Linked DNA regions of Bombyx mori. The protein of the gene in region 2 purifies or fractionates together with the protein of the main gene of each other region. This does not show direct contact. Links are inferred from orthologs where the notes say so. Each region holds a gene or a part of one and is shown on either strand. Other genes may lie near its edges. The genes, in order: kinesin-like protein KIF3A, kinesin-associated protein 3 and kinesin-like protein Klp68D.

Region 1 (6,517 bases), on a different chromosome or scaffold from region 2:
GTTGACTGGAAGAGAATGCCTTAGGCATTAAGTCCGCCAATGTAAATTTTGGCTTATAAGATATAGTTGTGCCGCCAACCTGACTATATCTGCTACGAAGCAACGTTTCGCTCTCGAGTGTCATAACATCGTTCGTACAGCGTTATTGAGACATCGACCTCATGCCTCAAGGTGGACTCCGGTCGCTGTTTAAGCGTAGGCGAGTAGCTCAGGTCAAGGTCATTCTTTTTAAATTCGCTCAACATTTCCTGTTTTTTTTTTTTATTGCCTTTGTAGGCAGACGGGCATACGGCCCACCTGATGGTGAGTGGTTACCGTCGCCCATGGACTTCAGCAATGCCAGGGGCAGAGCCAAGCCGCTGCCTAACGCTTAATACTCTCCACAAGCCTCGTTTGAAGAAGGACATGTCATAGCGCTCGGGAAACACCGTGGAGGGGAGCTCATTCCATAGCCGGATGGTACGTGGCAAAAAAGATCTCTGGAAACGCACTGTAAATGCACTTCTCTAATTTATAAACAATAATACATCTTTAGCGAAACTCGGTAATGGGACCTGTAATAATCACATTACTATTACAAAAAAAAAACACTTTCTTGTTCCTAAAACAACATTCTTTTATACAAACCTTTCTCTCACAGCTCTCAATCTAGAAATTGTTTCAAACATCATCCATAGTTCCATAATTCCATTTTCAAAAAAAATTCCGGATCACGACAAAAACAAACTATACCTAATTAAAACAATTCATTTGTAATCCATTCAAAAGTAAAATCATTGTAGAGACAATAAAAAATATATAAATTCTTTTTTTAAATCATTCTCTCTCCGTGTACATCTGACCGATGAACTAATTCTACGTATATAGCTCAATTGTTTTACGTTCCATTTCCAAATTTAAACTGGACGAACTAGTGCGAGCTAGTACGAACCGTTCGGTTTCGTTCTATACCAGCCTTTCCCAAAGTGGGCGATAACGCCCTCTTGTTGGCGCTGCAGGCCTAAAGAGGGCAGACTTTTTAGTGGGAACGCGAGGAGTGTAGTTGTGTGATTTGTTTTATTCTGTCTATTTAGTGTTTCTTCAGGTTTAAATGCGTAATAACGGTGGTTTATTAACTGTTTAATATTTGTGAAAGTGCACAAATGTGGGAAAAGGAAACAAAGCCGATGGACGTAGCTTCTCGAGATCCTCCAAAAAGCCCCCTGAAAAAGTCTCAATAAATAACCACAATTTTACAGAGATTATAGATATCCCATATCATCTCATCTCATTTAATTTCATCTCAGCTGATTTATGTCTCAAATTAATCATCTTCATTTCATTTCATTTCACTCCATATTATCATTTTTCATAAAATAAAAGAATTAAAATTAAAATAAGACTTTACCTAAAGGTCTTAGTTACCAGGTCACAAGATCCCTTAAAAAAAACGAAAGGGGGACGATAAGAGACCCAGATAAACAAGGCTTGGGAGGCGATTTCTGACTTTATCTTAGACCGACTGACCTCTCGCTGTAGTGATTTTTAGGTAGGTGAAAAAATGGTAGCGCTAAAAAATAATTTATTCTCAAAGTGGGCAAAAAAAAGTTTGGGAGCACCTGCTCTATACGACTCTGTACGTACTAGCGATGGTAGGCGGTAGTGCTAGACGCGGATAGACCTACAGAACGGTTCGAGTGTTATTGATCGGTCGCCGGCACAGCGCAATTAGGGCATCCCCAGGCCCGGCTGCAACACGACGAGGTCGCCCTCTTTCATTACAAACTCAATTTCGTTTCGTCATGTTGGTAACGCTATCTTTGTGTGCATTTCGTATTTGGAACGATTTCCCGCATTATGTGCTTTTGCAAAAAAAAAAAAAAACTTATACAGATTGACTTCGATATTAAGTATACTCTGTATTTAATACGTTTCGTGTTTTCCTATAAAAAAAATACCAAAGTTATTCGTAATAAATTGTTTTAAAATTTCCGTTACATTAACAAATTATCTAATCAGTTTTAAGATTCCTTGAAATTTAATGGTAACCTCGAAAAAAACATTATATAAGAACTTTAGTCACAGTGATTGCTTTAAATGACATTTTACATACATACATACATACATCGGCGCGTATAATATAATAAACATTATTATTAGTTCAAATTACAAAATACAAGATCCAAATCCGAAACTATTCCATTTTCAAATTTATTCTAGACAACTGGCTGACATTTAAAAAGTTTCGATTTCCAAAAAAAACAAATCGAAAAATTTAATGCACATTTTTAAATATAGAAACACTTCGATTCTTCGGTTCTCGCTCGACGTTATTAGGTGCAACGTTCCCTGTGCATTAAGCAATATATTTCTTAATCGTCTTGCAATACCAGGATTTCGACACGAAGCGCCGAAACCCAAACGTAGCGCAAGATGCACTAAGAACGTTACACCACACGTTTATTAATCTTCTTGCTTCACATTTCGTTTGCCAGTTTGTGGGCTTAGAACGTAACTTGAAAAAGAATGGCTTTGAAAATTCCCACATTGAAGATTTTTAATGTTCAACAAAAACAAAATAACAAAACTGAGCTCTTTGTTTTTCAAGTCACACGTTCAATGCTCACACATAAGCGTCGTTTCAATTCAGCCTTCGAGTCGTCTTCTAAATGACGTCACACACGAAACTCACCCACCATTCGACAAGACTGATGCAAGCGACAGCGCCAGTCAAGACGAAGGGCGGACGAGTAATGCGTTTCATCTTCTATTCGTGTTCATCACTTCTTCTTCGACGCCAAAGTATTCTTGGTACAACACTATAATATCAGTTCCATATCACTACAACAATGAACCATGTCGACTGTCAAATAAAATTCAAATTCCAAATTCAAAACAAGTACCGCGATAACTCAAAATACTCAACCTAATTCCGACAGTAATAAGAGTCAATACGAGTACTTTAACTAAGTCATTGTAACAGAGCGGTTATGTTCCGCTGACAACTGCGCTCGTCGCAACGTCGACGGCTAGTGAAATAATGTAGAGTACTCGGAGGGAATCGGCTCCGAGCGAGCTGCACTGCAACGCGCAACCGTCGGCTTCGTTCGTTTCCGCCGAACGATGTACCGAAACGCTTTTGTGGGCGTGAACGTTTAAATACGGCTTCGTAATTTAAACAAAAAAAAAACAAAATATAATCCTTCATTCGATTCCAAATTCAAAGGTTTTTAAATGTTTCAAAATGAGAACAAGTAGGTAAATGTCATATAAAAAAAAAACGCACACCTCGTAAAGTTCATATAAACGGAAACTAAAAGAATTTATTATCGAATTATTGAATGAAAATTAAGACAAATTTATATAAAATTCCTACAAATTTCATGACCCAATTGTACTATGCAATGCACGTAGTACTAAAGGGCTTCAAAACGTCGATTGGTATGGACACTACCGCGCATGCGTCAATTCCACCTACATAATAATATATATCAAACAGTTAACTATGTACCAAATACAGTACCGCGGTTTACACATATATTTTGAAAACTCCTTTTTTTTTTAAATCCTGTGGGCAACCCCTTATTTATGACTACGACCAACACCTACCTTAGTTTAGTTGTCATGGCCCGGTCAGGCCAAAATAGCACTTACCTGACTGGTGTTAGAGTCGAAGACAGCATCGTAAGCATAAACGCGAGGCGGCTCTGGAGGCGTCACGTTGTTCCTGGTCACAGCCACAGTCCCGTTCACGGAATCTACGGACACGCAATTGTAGGAGCCGTCCATTTTCTCCCTCTGGTCCATGGGCCGCACGCGAACCACCACCCGAACATTCTCGACGGTCGGAGCCGAGAGCTCTGCGTCCTATTGAAAACACAAAAAAGTTATCATTAGTGTGGTTTCGAAAAAGGAACGCGGCTGCAAATTCACAAAAAAAAAAAACAAAAAAAAACATTGGTGTCACATTTGACCTCGCAATATTGGGGTCAAGCTCTAAACTAGCGTCGCGTGTCGTTCAAATTATGTACGTTGTAACGAACGCGCTATTCCGAAGAAGCGCGCGCTGCTAACTCTCGTTATTTGCGCGATTTAAAAATGGAAATCAAACAAACAAAAAAAAACCTCAGCACTCCTTTGTTACGCGACCGTTAAAAAAGCAACTACGCTATTTTTTTTTCTTTCTCGCAACGCGCAAACGATTCCCTCGTTTCAAATAATAATATTACAACACATTATGTACTCAAATTTCTCGAGTTTGCATTACGCAAACGCCTTTGTTTCGAAATCGAGACATTCGTTAAAAAAAAAATCATACAGAGCCCGCAATCTTAAAACACGGTTATACCATACAAAGGCATTATCAATTTTGGCGGTTAGGAAAAACAAAATATATAAAATAAAAGCGTTCTTTGTTACATTTCTCAATTTAGGTCACACAATTTCGGCGGGCCGGATGACCCGACGCGTCCGCTAGCGAGCAAAGCCCGCCGGAGACTGCGAGGAGGCGGCCCAGCGATCTGTGGCAACTGGCAACACCTTCGTGTCCCAGAAAATATTAATTTACATACGTATATACGTACGTACGTACGTAACGAACGAGCATCGTTCCAATTTCAAACGTTTAAAACGCAAAATAATACACCCATTTATGCAATTACTAATACCGATTTAAACAAAGCCACGGACGGACCCGGGTACGTTTTCGATATTAGAACGCCCGAATTAGGTTTGGCGTTTGTGTGTTACTCTTACTTATTAGCGCGTTGACCTAAATCGAAATAGTGACGGCCCGCGTTGCAGAATCCCTTTATAGAATAGACGCGCCTAGTTTATTTTTAGTGTTTACGTACGTATTGTTACAATTAAAATTTATTAACGTGCTTTTTTTTTTGTTTTTTAAAGCTAATCTATCTATATATTAATACGTGAAGCAAAAACTTTGTACCCCTTTTTACGAAAATTGCGCGGACGGAGGAGTATGAAATTTTCCACACTTATAGAGAATATAGAGAAGAAGTGCACAATGCTAATATTTTTTTAAAATAATGCATAACAGATACATTAAATCAATAAAGAAAACATTACACACACTACATACCATGTATTTGACGCACACACGCATGCATACTATTTATTGTCAAACTTTTGTTCTTGACGTCTGTTGTCAAATTGAGAATACATGAAATATTGTTTGTCTTTGTTAATATTTTTTATAGTGTAGTCTTGGCGAAATCTGTGATTATAGAAGTATAAAATACAATCATAATAGTGTACAAACTTACAATTCCAATTAATTATAGTCGAATTTCGACTACTGCGGGACCTCTAGTATATATAAAAATGAATTGCTGTTCGTTAGTCTCGCTAAAACTCGAGAACGACTGGACCGATTTGGCTAATTTTGGTCTTGAATTATTTGTGGAAGTCCAGAGAAGATTTAAAAGGTAGGTAAATATAAAAATGCTCGGAATTAAAAATAAAAATAACAATTTAGTTTTTCCTTTGATGTGTCTCCCGTCGGACCGATTCCTTTTGTGTGTTTTAAGTTTATTTTATACAAAAGTTTAGTTCTTTTATTTAACGACTGAGGCACTACGAAGTCTGCCGGGTCAGCTAGTATTAAATAAATAAGTGCTCCTCTTTTAAATAGTTCACTAGGTAAGTAAAGATATCGAAATATAGGTCGGAAAATATTTACCTAACGGATGTTCCTGCAATATCTCACTATCAATATTACCGGTAGTAGGACCTTTTGTGAGCCCGCACGGGTAGGTACCACCACCCTGCCTATTTCTGCCGTGAAGCAGTAATGCGTTTCGGTTTGAAGGGTGGGGCAGCCGTTGTAACTATACTGAGACCTTAGAACTTATATCTCAAGGTGGGTGGCGCATTTACGTTGTAGATGTCTATGGGCTCCAGTAACCACTTAACACCAGATGGGCTGTGAGCTCGTCCAACCATCTAAGCAATAAAAAAATAATCTCAATGATAGGATTTAGGATGCATTATGTGAGTTATAAAAATAAAAATTTCTCTTTTTTTTATGGTTATTGTTATAAATAAAATTTATTAAGGTTTTTTTTTGTTTTGTTTTTTAGTGCTAATATTAAATAAGGTCATGTTCTTGTTTTAATAATTCACTAAGTAAGCTTTGCTCCTCCCCCCTCCCTCCTTCAGTTTATCGCTCATTGCTGTGCATCGTGATACGTCCGCCTGTGACCTGTTTTTGTAATTTGTAGAGCTTTACTAAAAGCTTTTTACTAAAGCTATCACAACCACAACCACGGGTAGAAGTGGGGCGGTTTTACAACAACTAAACCACTGCTACCACAGAAGGGGGAGCATTAGTAGAGGACTCAGCGGCCCAGGGTACCCCTAATTTCTCAGTTACGCTGGACAAATTGTTTTAGCACCAAGATCTTGTGACCTAGTTACGTGTTCCAACTAATTTTATCCCTTATTATTTTCGCTAACAAAGTCGAACCACTCTACGGTATATTTGGTGGAGTACGATTGCCATCACCGTTGGACGCTG
Region 2 (6,517 bases):
ATTCGTAATTCATTTCTTTCGCTTCGCTTCAGGTGATCCTTTCGCTGTTTCGCTTCGAATAGATCCAATTACTTACTGCCTTCGTATTATCTTTGCAACGCTTTTATAGTCGATACGACATCTCTACAATCATCGAGAATATTCCCGTTAAGTCGAGCCGTTCGATATGTGTTTGCGCTATTTGAAAATAGATGGCGATGAACTCCTCGATCATTCTCGATTTTACTAGATTTTTGATATTCGTTTCTGCTGTTTCACGATCGATGGCGATACTCTTGCCAGCGTTACATTATAATAAAGTTTTAAAGTACCTATATAAAATAATGGATATTTTATTTTCATTCAACAACAGAATTGGACTGTGGCGCCCAAAGACTACATACATCCATACATATGTATAATCATCGGAATATACGAAACGAGAATAATGCGCAGGACAGAAGATATATTTTGTATAAACCATTTCTTAGTTACACATTGATAATGATATGAAAAAAATATTTGATACGAACTATATAAATTCATCCTCATAAAACAACAGTTTATTCCACTTTGATATGTACACTTTTTTCCAACCAAAGGTGATGGTCTTCATAGACCATATCAGCGTCACCGGGCGAGTAGGTGAGCTCACAGATCTCAAGCCTGACGTAGTTGCTAACACGAACCATAGCAAGAGCTTCGCAGAATCTACCATCGTATCGGAAACGCGACCCACTGAGAAGATTCTTGGAGAAACTCAATGGGCTGTGTCTGTGGGTTAATTTACTTGCCGAGCCCTTCGTCGCCAGCGATGGGTTCGACGAGAACGATGACCGGTGCTTGGGGTACTTAAAAGCACCGTTAGTGGGTCGGGAGGATCCGAGATGTCGAAACCCACTTTTACTACAGAACGCAAAATTCACATAAACAGAGGACGTTTCATACGACCTACTTAAATACATAAAATAGTTATATACACAAACATTCGGTTGACAACAATTAGTATTGCGGATAGTGTTACAAAAATTTCAAATGTGTAATATTGTAATATTTTCACATTAATTCGGTTCTCTTTATTACCTAGCTTATTTTAATCACACAAGAGTCTTTAACACAGATTTCTACGAAAATGAGATAAGGTAGTAATGAATATAAGAGAAAGTCACGTTCTAAATTTAAATATAATATCTTTATTTATATATTATAACAGTATTTGTGGCCACACTGTATATTTAGTTATACCAAAAAAGAAAACTGCGATTTATTTAATACTGAGATCATCATAATATTTAGACTTCACCTATCAATCAGAGCTTGATCATTAAAACTTCACAGTGCACAAATACATCGTTAAAAGCTGTTAGCGTTAGTGGGCGTCAAGTATTCTTCATACATTACTGAGATCTTCATTCAGTTACTATAATCGCAACCTAGAGTCATATTCTGTAAGATATCGACTAAAGTGTTGGGCTTTATTTACAGGATTAATTTCTTTTGATTGTGATCGAAGACACCAAATATATCCTTACTAAAAACTAAATAAGCTTTAGGAAAAAATAAATAATTTATGTAGAGTCTAAATTACATACGAACATTTTAGGCTGTTACTGTTTTATTTTAATATAAATCAGAACAATCTAAATAACAAATAGTTGCACGCTTTTTTTTTCTATTTGAAGCTAGATTAATAGAAGCAAAAACTAATACGTGTTAAGCATCTATGTGATTATTTAAAACTATTTTAAATTAAGTGAATAGTACAATATCACTGGTAGGGCCGTCGATATCCGAAAGCTTCCCCGACGAGCCATCCGTCGAAGTGAAAAGTTCGCCTTTATGCTCCTCTGAAGAGTTCCTTTAAAGAGGTTAGAGTTAATTATTCGAATATTTCTTAGACATTATCTATCTATATATCTATCTTATTTTTTACTGGTGGTAGGACCTCTTGTGAGTCCGCACGGGTAGGTACCACCACCCTGCCTATTTTTGCCGTGAAGCAATAATGCGTTTCGGTTTGAAGGATGGGGCAGCCGTTGTAACTATACTGAGACCATAAAACTTATATCTCAAGGTGGGTGGCGCATTTATGTTGTAGACGTCTATGGGCTCCAGTAACGACTTAACACCAGGTGAGCTGTGAGTCCACCACACAAAGGCATCTTTCCTATGACAAACGCGATCATAAGCTGTTGCTCACGGACAACGACAGGAGCAAAGGCGTGTGCCTTCACTTCAAGCCGCTGCCAAAACACTGTCAGAAATGTCATTTGAAAACTTGATTTGCGAATATTCTTACTTTGATCTTAGCACTTTCACATATAACAAATAGAGCCACGTTATATTAGGGATAGAGTAATTATCTATTAGTAGCATTAATGAATAATTTATAAAAACAGTACAGTGTTTCCAGATATTATCTTAAACGTACAAATTAACTTAACGGACCACTTTAAGTTGGTTATGTTAGTATGTATAGTATTTTACAGTGTTAATCAATTTTATTCACCTGGCTTCGACGCGATTAAGATCAACCTCACCCGACAGGCTATCTGAGTCGTCGTTAATTGACGTTTGTGAGTCTGAAAATATAATAAGATTTTAATAAAATTACCATAAAAAGATATGTTACTGGTACAAAACTTCTAGAATACAATAAAAATGCAAGTTCTAGCTAGCTCGTTACTGTGTAGTAAGTAGCCTTGCAACAAAAACTAAACGACCGTAGCACACTCATCGTTTTCCCTCCTTTCTGACTGGCTTACATTGCCAGTTTGTCTTCTCACTCGTAAAAATCTACGGCAATTAGTTCACAGATCTGTTTATGACAACATACTTCAGGTTTGCCGTCAAGTCATGGCTAAACGTGTATTAAACCCTATTAAGTTTTGTCTTTAAAATTAGATGTTCTCCTGGACCTATCTCGTGTAGTATATGGATTAAATTAATGACTCGATTTATTATCAAGGTGAAATACAACTACCTCTTCTTATAATCTGGTATATTTTTTCTCACAAAAGCTAACCTAAAATACAGACGATTAACAAAAATAAATGTCTGAGCAAATAGAATATTACAAACTTTTTAATTTCGTGCTCGCGTCAATCTTCATAACTGCCATTTTTTTTATTGCCCTTGTAGGCGGACGAGGACACGGCCCAACTGATGGTTAGCGTCGCCCATGGAATTCAGCAATGCTAGGAACAGAGCCAAGCCGCTGCCTACCAGCCAAGCCACGGCCTACCAGCCAAGCCGCTGCCTACCATTTCCTGCCATTTCAATTTAGTGTCATAGGTCTCTGCATTAGAGTCCCGAGCCTCTATCTTATCGCTGGAAGCCTAATTGGTCTTTTCAGCTAGGCCCGCACGGATAGATGAGTTCACGGGCTCAACCTGAGAGAATAACACTAGCCCTAGCAAGAGCAGTGCTTAGTAGAAATAACCTCAAATCGGAATCGCGACCCACTGAGAAGATCCGGTGAGAAATTCAGTGAGCAGTGTCAATGTGTGAGTTCGCTCGTCGAATTCTCTGTCTTAATTGAAGAGTTCGACGAGGATGATGACATGTATCGAGCGACGACGGATTTGGGTTGTCTCGTCGCCTGGGTCGGATAAGAGTATCTGCTCACAATCACCACTAAATATTTAAACACTTATCTCAGAATTACTTATACACTCGAGAGCAATGAATCCGGATCACTTAAAAACCTATAAATATCGGAAACTAAGAATGGTAGCTTAATGAAATAAATTGTGTTTAGTAGACAATTAAATACTCATTAAATTAAGGTTTATTTAAACCTTTTGGTGGGTAGGTTTAAAAGGAGACTTTTGAAGATGAAACTACGAAATTACTGCATTTGATTTTTATTTTGTTTCTAATCTGTCATTTAAGTGGGTATATAAACCATACCTAATGATAATGTTCAATATTTATTATACAACCTGTAATCATGTTGCTTACAACTGAAGAATGCACCAGAATCCTTACGAAATGCTGGAAACCGGCCGGAGTCAGCGGGATATAGCCAGAACTGTCGATGTCGCTGTCAACAGTACAAAGTTCTCCAACGTTACGAGGAAACTGGCTCTAACCTACGCAGACCAGGAACAAGCAGGACTAGGTGTACCACAGCACGAGATGATCGATACTTGGTGAACACCATGCGTCGTAATCGCTTTCTTACAGGAACTGAACTTAAAAATCAGTCTCGATGCCTCAGAGGACGTAACCCAAGCGCATGGACAGTAAGACGACGAGTTGTTTAAGCTAACTTGAAACCACTTAGACCTGCAAATGGCTCTAAACTGGAGCGTGGTGATTGAACTTCAAGACTAAGATGTCCCAGAACCGTTTAAATTAGACTATTGAAGATTGGTCGAAAGTTATGCTCTCTGACGAATCAAAATTTATGCTCTACAAGCACGATTCAAGCAAGCATGCATAGACGAAAAAGTAGCCTACGGTGGTGGGTCTGTACTTGTGTGGGCCGGAATTTCATCTGAGAGTCGCACAGAACTGGTGTTCATAGAAAATGGCCCTTTAACTAGCGTAAGATAGAAGATTGGAAGAAATCCTTAATGAACACGTTGGGCCATTTATGATCAATTTGGGTGAAGATGTTATTTTTATGCATGACCATGCCCGACCTCATACAGGTTTCAGTGTGAATGACTACCTACACGAGATGAACATTACATGTCATGTTTCCTGTTTGTGTTTTAAGGCGAGATCAGCAGTTTTTTCTTCTTTATGTAATTTTTAATAAATAACATGTAGTGACTTATAAATTTTATTACTTTCATTTAAGGGGTATTACATTGTCTATTAAACACCGTTTATTTTATTAAGCTGGCATTCTTAGTTTCCAAGATTTATAGTTTTACGCGCTGGGGTTCGCGATAAATAAAAATTCTACCGAATTGCAAGTTAACACTGTATTAAACGCTTAGAACACTTAAAACACTCAACAAACAGTTTAAAACTCTCAATTCGCTTCTTCCGTTTCACTTCAGGTGATCCGTTCGCTGTTTCGCTTCGAGTAGTTCAGATTACTGACTGACTGCGTGCCACCCCTGCAACGCTTTTATAGTCGATACCTCATCCCTAGAATTATCGAGAATATTCCACACATCTCTAGTATTGTTTCCGCTATCTGACAATAGATGGCGTTGTACTTCCCGACAGTTCTAGGTGCTACTAGATCCTTCGATATTCGTTCCACTATTCGGCGATAGATGGCGTCTCTTACCGGCGTAACAATAGGTTTCTTTAGGTGACCCGCATTCATTGCTTTCGAGTATATTTCTTTTTAGTAATTCTAGGCTATATTGTATTAAAATATGATAGGAAAATCAAACCCTACAAATTTTATTTTGCCGATTTATGTTGTTTCATTTTATTATTTAGCTTAGCTATTATTTATATTAGCTTTATTATTTATATAGCTTTATATTATATAGCTTTATTATTTATATTAGCTTCTGTTCCCGGCTTTGCCCACGCAAAAAGTAGCTTTCCCAAGAAGTAATTTTATCCAAATTCATTCAACAGATTATATGCTTGGTTGAATAAAAAACATTGATATTAAATGAATTGTGTTTTTGCAGATCCACTACGATCTATTATTTTGAGTAAGTACAGTCACAGTCGATATTGTATAGCTGACCATGTGAAATGCAAGAAGAGCCTAGATGAATTCCTACCATTTTCAGCGTTTGGCCCTGGGATTAATAAATGGTCATTGTTAATAATAGCTATTCATAAAATAAATTGTATTTCGTAAAGTAAGCAAAGTTATTTTCAATATTATCACATCAAACCTTTAGAGGCTTTAATATTAATCCACTGATCCTCTAACTATGTATGTCACGATAGTGAAAACATGGAACGATGTAAATCGACGCCAACACCATCTAGTCACAAAATCGCGAACCATAAATTGTCGAATTAAAACCGAATTAAAATAGCACTAAACTTGAATTGTTATCCCACAGAAACATTTTGTTAACGCCATGTTAGTGATAAGTTCAAAACTAAGGTTTTAGATCGAAATTGACTATTATCAAGAGAAAAAACATTACCAGAATAAAAAGTATTATTGTCTTTTAATTCTTTTATTCAGGAAATGGTGTATCTCTGTGACAAATTTTTGGCATAACCATTCAACCGTTTACACGTGGTTGAGTGACAAGCATTCAAACATCTTCACAAACTTTGACATTTATAATATTAGTAGAATTAAACCTGCCTAATTTGTTTTAATATAAATAATTGTAAATAGACATGTTTTAACAAAAACCGACTTCAAATAGAAAAAAAAAGATATTCCAAAACAAATTAATGTACACTAAAAACAGTAATCATCGAAATCGGTTGGCGTGATATTGAATTATTGACTAATTCGTCTGTTAATCGCGCACGTACTTAATGCAAATTTAAGACTTATATGGTTTTCTCATGGATACCATTATCAAAACTAGACTGTAATGGAACAACACGGAAAATGTAATGGAACAACACGGAAAATGTAATGGAA
Region 3 (6,517 bases), on a different chromosome or scaffold from region 2:
AACGTCTACAATACGTCTATAAACGCAGTAAGATGGGGCAGCCGCTACACAGCCGATTAGTGGGCCGTATGTACGAACCTGCGGCGGCACGTAGAGGCGCGTGGTGGGCGGCAGCGGCAGGGGGGCGAGCGCCAGCAGCGCGCGCGGGGGGGCGCGGGGGCGGGCGCGGGGCCGCTCGAGCAGCGGCTCCAGGGGCGCGGGGGGGGCGAGGTCCCACACGTCGCGGTCGTCGTCGTAGCGCGCCCGCAGCGCGGCGGGGCGGCCGGCCAGCGGCACGAAGCTGTCGGCGAGCAGCAGGCGGCGGCGCAGCGCCCCCACCAGCGCGGCCTGCAGCGCCTCCCGCTCGCGCCGCTCCGCGTCGTGCGCCTCGCGCTGCTCCACCATCTCCTCGCGCAGCCCCGCGTACTTCGACAGGCACTTCTTCAACCTGCGACAACCCACGCCGCATGTACTCACCCGACAATATATTCGCAGAGTTACATTTTAACTACATACAAAAAAAAGAATGTATCGCAGTCGGATCAGTTATTTCAAATAGTTTCTTATTGAATGTTTTTGTAAATATGCTTAAGTAGAAACATGCCGATTGCAGAAGCGCTTCGGGTGGACCGATATAATTTGACGGAGAGTTGAGAAATAAAGAAGTAAAGATTGCCGCGCCCAGTAAGTCGGCTGTGGGGGCGGCGAGCGGTCCACTGACCTCTGCGTCTTGTGGTCGACCTCTTGCTGCAGGGTCGCGAACGTGTTGGTGACGATGGCGGCGGTCTCCTCCTCCAGCTCTATCTTCTGCTGCATCTCCACCTCTCTGTTCTTCCTCTCCGCGATCTCGAGGTTCCTCTGCTCTAGTATAATTTGGCTCTCGTTGAGGTTGTTGATGAGGTCCTTCCCCGCACCGCCCTGCACGAGCCGGTCCTCCAGCGATCGAATCTGTTGCTCCAATTCTTCAGTCTTTACTTTTTCTTGTTCTATCGTAGATTCCGCTAGAATGTTCTCGTTCTCTATACTGAGCGTGTCGTCTTCCGCTGCTGAAATAATAATTGTAATAAATACGGCATGTGTAAAGAGGGCAGACTCTTTTTAACGTCAGCTGTTCCCGCGCTTGCGCTGTTTGGCAGTCAGTTCGGGTTAATGTAGAATGTCAATAAAACAGCGGTGACAGAAATGAAGAACTATAAAGTTATAAAATTTAACATCAACATTGACATCTACAACGTAAATGCCACCACCACCACCACCACCAGCGGCGCTGCTACCTGCCCGTGTAGACTAACGAGACGTCCTGCTAACAGTATTTACGCAAATTATATCATTAATAATAATTTTGCGGGTTTTGATTTTTATTACACGATGTTATTCCTTCACCATGGGAGTCAATCGTGAACATTTGTTGAGTACGTATTTCATTAGAAAAATTTTTACCCGCCTGCGAGATTCGAACACCGGTGCTATCGCTAGATACGAATGCACCGGACGTCTTATCCTTTAGGCCACGACGACTTATAAGACGGTGAAGGAAGCATTAGAACGCGGGGGTCCAGTCCTGGCGGTCCGTGCTGGAGGCGTGTCGGCCGGTGTTCGGACTCCTCGTGGATTGCGTTAAACGTGACCGAGGGCGTCTCACCTTCTGGTTGTCGCAAATGCACGGGCCCGCGGGTGCTCCGGCCGACACCTGCACCGCGGCGCCCGATGGGAACAGATAGAGACAGAGTCGGCGCCGCACTTACCGTTGTCGGGGTGCGGCCTGGCGGGGCGCGGCTTCCTGGGCCGCTTCTCGATGAGCTTCCTCTGCTCGATGAGCGCGCGGAGTCGCTCGATCTCGGCCTGGTACTCGCGCAGCTTGGCGTCCTTCGGGTCCTCGTTGCGGACCGGCTTGTTCTTTATCGCTGAAATGGGTGCAGTCCAGTGTCATGTTAGGGTCCTCAGCTCCGAGGGTAACGGTTACAAAATTTGTTCGGCTATATACGAGGCCGTCAGCGCAAAAGTGGCCTAACCCACAATTTATCATAATCATGCTTATAATTATGTATATTGCAATTTATTTAAAAATAGTATATTTTGATGCAAAACCGGCCCATCCATAGTTTCACCCATAGATAACAGATGACTTTGTAAACATTTTTGCGCGTATTGTTTTTATGCCTACTCAAATTCAAATTCATGAAAACTTAAACTTCATTGCTCCATAATAATTATGGTAAGCTTAGGCCACTTTTGCGCTGACGGCCTCATATAAGAGAAAATAAGTAATTTAACTGCATTCGTCTAATTGTTTTCTTTGGAAAATATAGATAATATTGAATATGATAAGTCTCGGTACCTTTGGCGCGGTGCGCGTACCGCAGCGTGGTGACGGTCTCGTCGTAGTTGTAGGAGGCGGGCCCGATGTTCGCGATCATTATGGTCTTGCTGTTGCCGCCCAGCGAGTCCTGCAGAATCCGAGTCAGCTTCGAGTCCCTGCGCACACACAGATACTTCAATATTCTGTATCTTCCACACAATCACCGAGTCGACCGTTCATGAAAAACGACATTTAATTGCAGGGATGCGTACCTGTACGGCACGTGGGGGCTGTTCTCTGCGAGCGCGGAGATGACGTTTCCCAGGGAGGAGAGGGCCTGGTTGATGCGAGAAGCCTCGCGCAGTCTGTCCGCGGAGGCGCCCGTTTTGGACTGCCGCTCGCTTCCCGCCAGGTCCACGAGGTTCAACTTGCCCACGCTGAAAATATTCAAATATCTGTTATTGGAACTGAACTTGTTATTTATCTGGTCGGGTTGTTAGTGACCTTCTACCCGCCAAATCAATGTCTTTCTTGATGTCCACTTCAAGGGACATGAGCGAACTCGTTCTTGTCTCGAGCGTGTGAAAGCGTCGCCGACAATTCTAGCTCGGGACTATTAAGCATGAAATTATCATGTATGTCTTCAAATGTCTAAGCTTCCCGTGTGCGATGTTGATGTTTAGATTAGCTAAATAGACAGAGGCGCGTCTGTATTTTGTAGTTGTTTGTGTAAATCATTACAATATGTCCTGTAGCAGTACTTGAAGTGAACCATTTTCAAGAAAGTCTTTTCAAGTAAGTTCACCGGTCATGTAGTCTTCATTACAGAAATCGGTACCTGCTTAATGGATTACAGGACCCGTATTCGGACCCGTGTTTGGGCTTTATTGGTGTTGAGATTGTGAATCTTGTTTCTGTATTCATGCCTGTTTCATCTAGCAATCTAATTCTTTTCAGAATCAGTTTCGAACATTTGCTTTATGTTGACGGTGGGTTTTTAGATTAAATAACAGTTACGATCATTTGATAAAAAATAAAACAGTGTTGTTGAGTGTGTGTGGCAGGTTAGTTTAAATCAAAATTTAATTGTGCATCTGATCTGCAACAGCTGTCCCTTCATTTAGTTTAGTGGTTAAATCAAATTTTACAATAAGTTTGTTAATTCAAACCACTGTTGGTATGTCATATCGTTCCGATGTCGTGCCGAAACTAGGATCAAGGATAAATCGTTTCCCCTTTAAAAAAAATTAGAGCGCAAGCAGTGTATATTGAAAGGCCTTTGATGGAATGGAATGGAATCCCTGCCCACCGTTTCTTTGATTGGGCCCATAAAGAGGGTTGAGGATTCATTTTTAAAATATGCCTTATACCTTTTACGGGTATATTATTGACCTGGCTGAAAAACATCTTAATTAAAAAGCTTATTTGGGTTTCACGATACTTTTGATAATTGCATCTGAACCATGTAACAATTGATCGTATATAGTTCATTGATCGGTTCTTCTCGCCTTTAGTCTAGGCGCCCCTCGACGTCCCTTACGTATATACATATATGCCTTCCGGCGCAATATATCTAAACTATCGGAGCACTAGACTCGTTCATCGCCTCGCGCCGCCGCGCTGGCAGTTGCGCTCCTATTAAACGTTTCCTCCTTGTGTTCCGTTCTCACACTTATTGCTATGAGAAACCAAAACTATGCATTATATTTCTATAACGATGTTTTGAACATCATTCTGATGATAGATTTTTAATACAGAAACATTTTAACATTCAATGTAAATGGAAATTATAATACCAAGGATTTGGCCTTTATTTCTTTATTTTAATGGGTATTTCATAAAACAAAGGCAGAGGTACTTGAGAATAAACAGCTTTAGAATATTATATGACCTGTGTATTATAATGTATTTATTTAATTGTTTTCAAATGCAAACCTTCATAATTATGCATTGTATTTAGTTTCCGTTCTTGTTATTCTATTCTATAATCGTACCTGCTACGTGATTTTATGAGTGATTTTTGGAAGAAATAATCTATTTTCATCAAAACAATGTTTTTAATTAATCACCCGATTGGATATAAAACTAAAAAAAATGTATACGTGATTAGTTTAAAGAAACCAGAGATTACAGCGCAAAAGTTGTTTTAATTATACTATAAATAAGTACCCAAGCAAACCGATAATAAAGTAATCGAGTTAAAACTCAAATCTCAAATATATAGCTGCGTTTTGTTTTGTTTTTAATCTATTTCGAATAATTTTTGTTGTATGTTTGACACTAAATGTTAGCCCCTTTATTTCACAATTTCAAATCACATCAAATTCGGTTCTGCCACTGCGGATGAGGTGACCGTGATACACAAAAATCTTTACTATTTTATTCGATGTAATATTTGAACACAGACAGATAACCGTTTTAAAGAAAGTGACAATTAAGAGTTACAGTCGTAAGATTTATTTAATAAACCAATAATTGTAGCCTCATAATAAAATCTCTCATGTTACTTTCTTGGGTTTATATGTCTATAAAATGTAAGAACTGATTAGTTGCCAGGTGCGACGTACTATCGATCAATTGGGCATGTTCTTCCCAGTCGACATACAAATTTGATATTTGTAGGATTGACGTTGTAAGCTCTAAAAAAATCCCAATCTAAGGTATTAGTACTAAAAACCAAAATTTAGAACAATTTTTTTTATTGCTCACGGCCCACCTGATGTTAAGTGGTTACCGGAGCCCATAGATATCTACAAAGTAAATGCCCCCATCTACCACCTTGAGACATGAGTTCTAAGGTCTCAGTTTTTACAGTACAACGGCTGCTCCACCCTTCAAACCGAAACGCATTACTGCTTCACGGCAGAAATAGGTAGGGTGGTGGTACCTACCCACGCGGACTCCCAATACGTCCTACCACCAGTATTGTGTTATCAAACAATGAATCTGCTTGAAATGTCCGTGAGCTGAGAGTAATGCAAAACATGTGACGTACCCACTCGCAGCGAATCATGCGACTATCCCCCGACTCGTAAATGCGACGGGCTTATGATCTACGACCAATACATTAACTTATTGACTGATGATGGAGTGTAAAATGAGCCTACACGGTTGTCAGACAGCTATAGGTTGGCCTAACGTCACAAGGAGGACGACTCTTTTCTGTTGCTGTATCTGTGGGCCGTGAGCACCCAACGCTGGTCCGTGAGCTCCTCGATGTAAATAATGTAATAATAATATTGCTTTTTTATAAATACCACATTTGGCTACCTGAACTAGGTTCAGAACTAGAATTGATATTGTCCAATCCACAAATAGATGAAATAACTTTCATATAAACATTGAATGTATCATAAATTAATATAAAATCCAGGCGAAATCAACATGTATTTAATTACGTCTGCTTGTTGCCCATGAATTAAGGTCGCGATCATAATAATATTTGATCAACTGATAATAAATTTCAAATTACTGATTGATTTTTCAAGTTAAAAATTGTTTGAATTCGCATATACCAGGCCGATTTATCTCGTGTAACCAAAGTATTTAAAAAAAATCTCAGGCTCAAGATTCCTTTCGTTTTTTATAAATATTCCGGATAAAGTCATATCATTGGTACAATCTTTACAAGTTGCAAATGTTAATCTGTCATAAATAGGCAAAGTGAAAACGATTTCTCTGTTTGTCAGCCTATATTTTTTACTTCTTTTTTTGTTTAGTAGACATTGAAAAGGTTTTAGTGTTATCATTAAAACATTTTTGGAAATAATCGTTTTTTCCTTCAAAATGTCAACACGATAATAAAATAAAACAGAAAGTGTACAGAAAATAAATCTAATTCTTACGGAATTATGGTTGGTTACATTTCGATCGTTTTCAACAAACTAATTTAAAACAATATCGTTGTAGCCTTTTGTTTTTTGTTATTTAAATAATAAAACCATCATATGAGAGCTCAAAGTGAGCATATCAAGATCAAGTGAAGTGAGTGAACCTAATGTGTATATTGAGTTGTGTCAGTTTAACATGAAATTTATTTTCTGGAATGTATCCATTATACGAAAAAACAATGATTCAAAATCTAAAATGACTCCTAAACATAACATTGTTCTCGGAAAACTGATACAACACGTTCCTGAAATCACGTTTAGCATGAATAAGACGTGTTCAATTGCACACAATTGCGCACACCGACCAACGTACTAAATCCTCATTTTCACACTAGGCAATAAAATGTTT

What was found.
Region 1: the proteins of kinesin-associated protein 3 (region 2) and kinesin-like protein KIF3A purify together in Drosophila melanogaster (affinity purification with western blotting; 5 studies listed by BioGRID, with this or other methods). This does not show direct contact. The link is inferred for Bombyx mori from reciprocal best matches to the Drosophila melanogaster genes Kap3 and Klp64D.
Region 3: the proteins of kinesin-associated protein 3 (region 2) and kinesin-like protein Klp68D purify together in Drosophila melanogaster (affinity purification with western blotting; 4 studies listed by BioGRID, with this or other methods). This does not show direct contact. The link is inferred for Bombyx mori from reciprocal best matches to the Drosophila melanogaster genes Kap3 and Klp68D.

Annotation. Positions count from the first base shown.
Region 1 is NC_085130.1:15,775,445-15,781,961, forward strand, and holds part of kinesin-like protein KIF3A, read right to left. Parts: intron 4,474-6,517; exon of another isoform or gene 4,399-4,473; intron 3,847-4,398; coding exon 3,634-3,846; intron 2,736-3,633; exon of another isoform or gene 2,663-2,735; intron 1-2,662.
Region 2 is NC_085110.1:8,456,954-8,463,470, reverse strand, and holds the end of kinesin-associated protein 3, read right to left. Parts: intron 4,025-6,517; exon of another isoform or gene 3,924-4,024; intron 2,562-3,923; coding exon 2,489-2,561; intron 1,838-2,488; coding exon 1,729-1,837; 3' UTR 1,150-1,728; downstream 1-1,149.
Region 3 is NC_085120.1:13,212,813-13,219,329, forward strand, and holds part of kinesin-like protein Klp68D, read right to left. Parts: intron 2,716-6,517; coding exon 2,551-2,715; intron 2,455-2,550; coding exon 2,318-2,454; intron 1,884-2,317; coding exon 1,725-1,883; intron 1,026-1,724; coding exon 701-1,025; intron 428-700; coding exon 79-427; intron 1-78. UniProt on the Drosophila melanogaster protein: Plus-end directed microtubule motor that may be used for anterograde axonal transport and could conceivably move cargos in fly neurons different than those moved by kinesin heavy chain or other plus-end directed motors.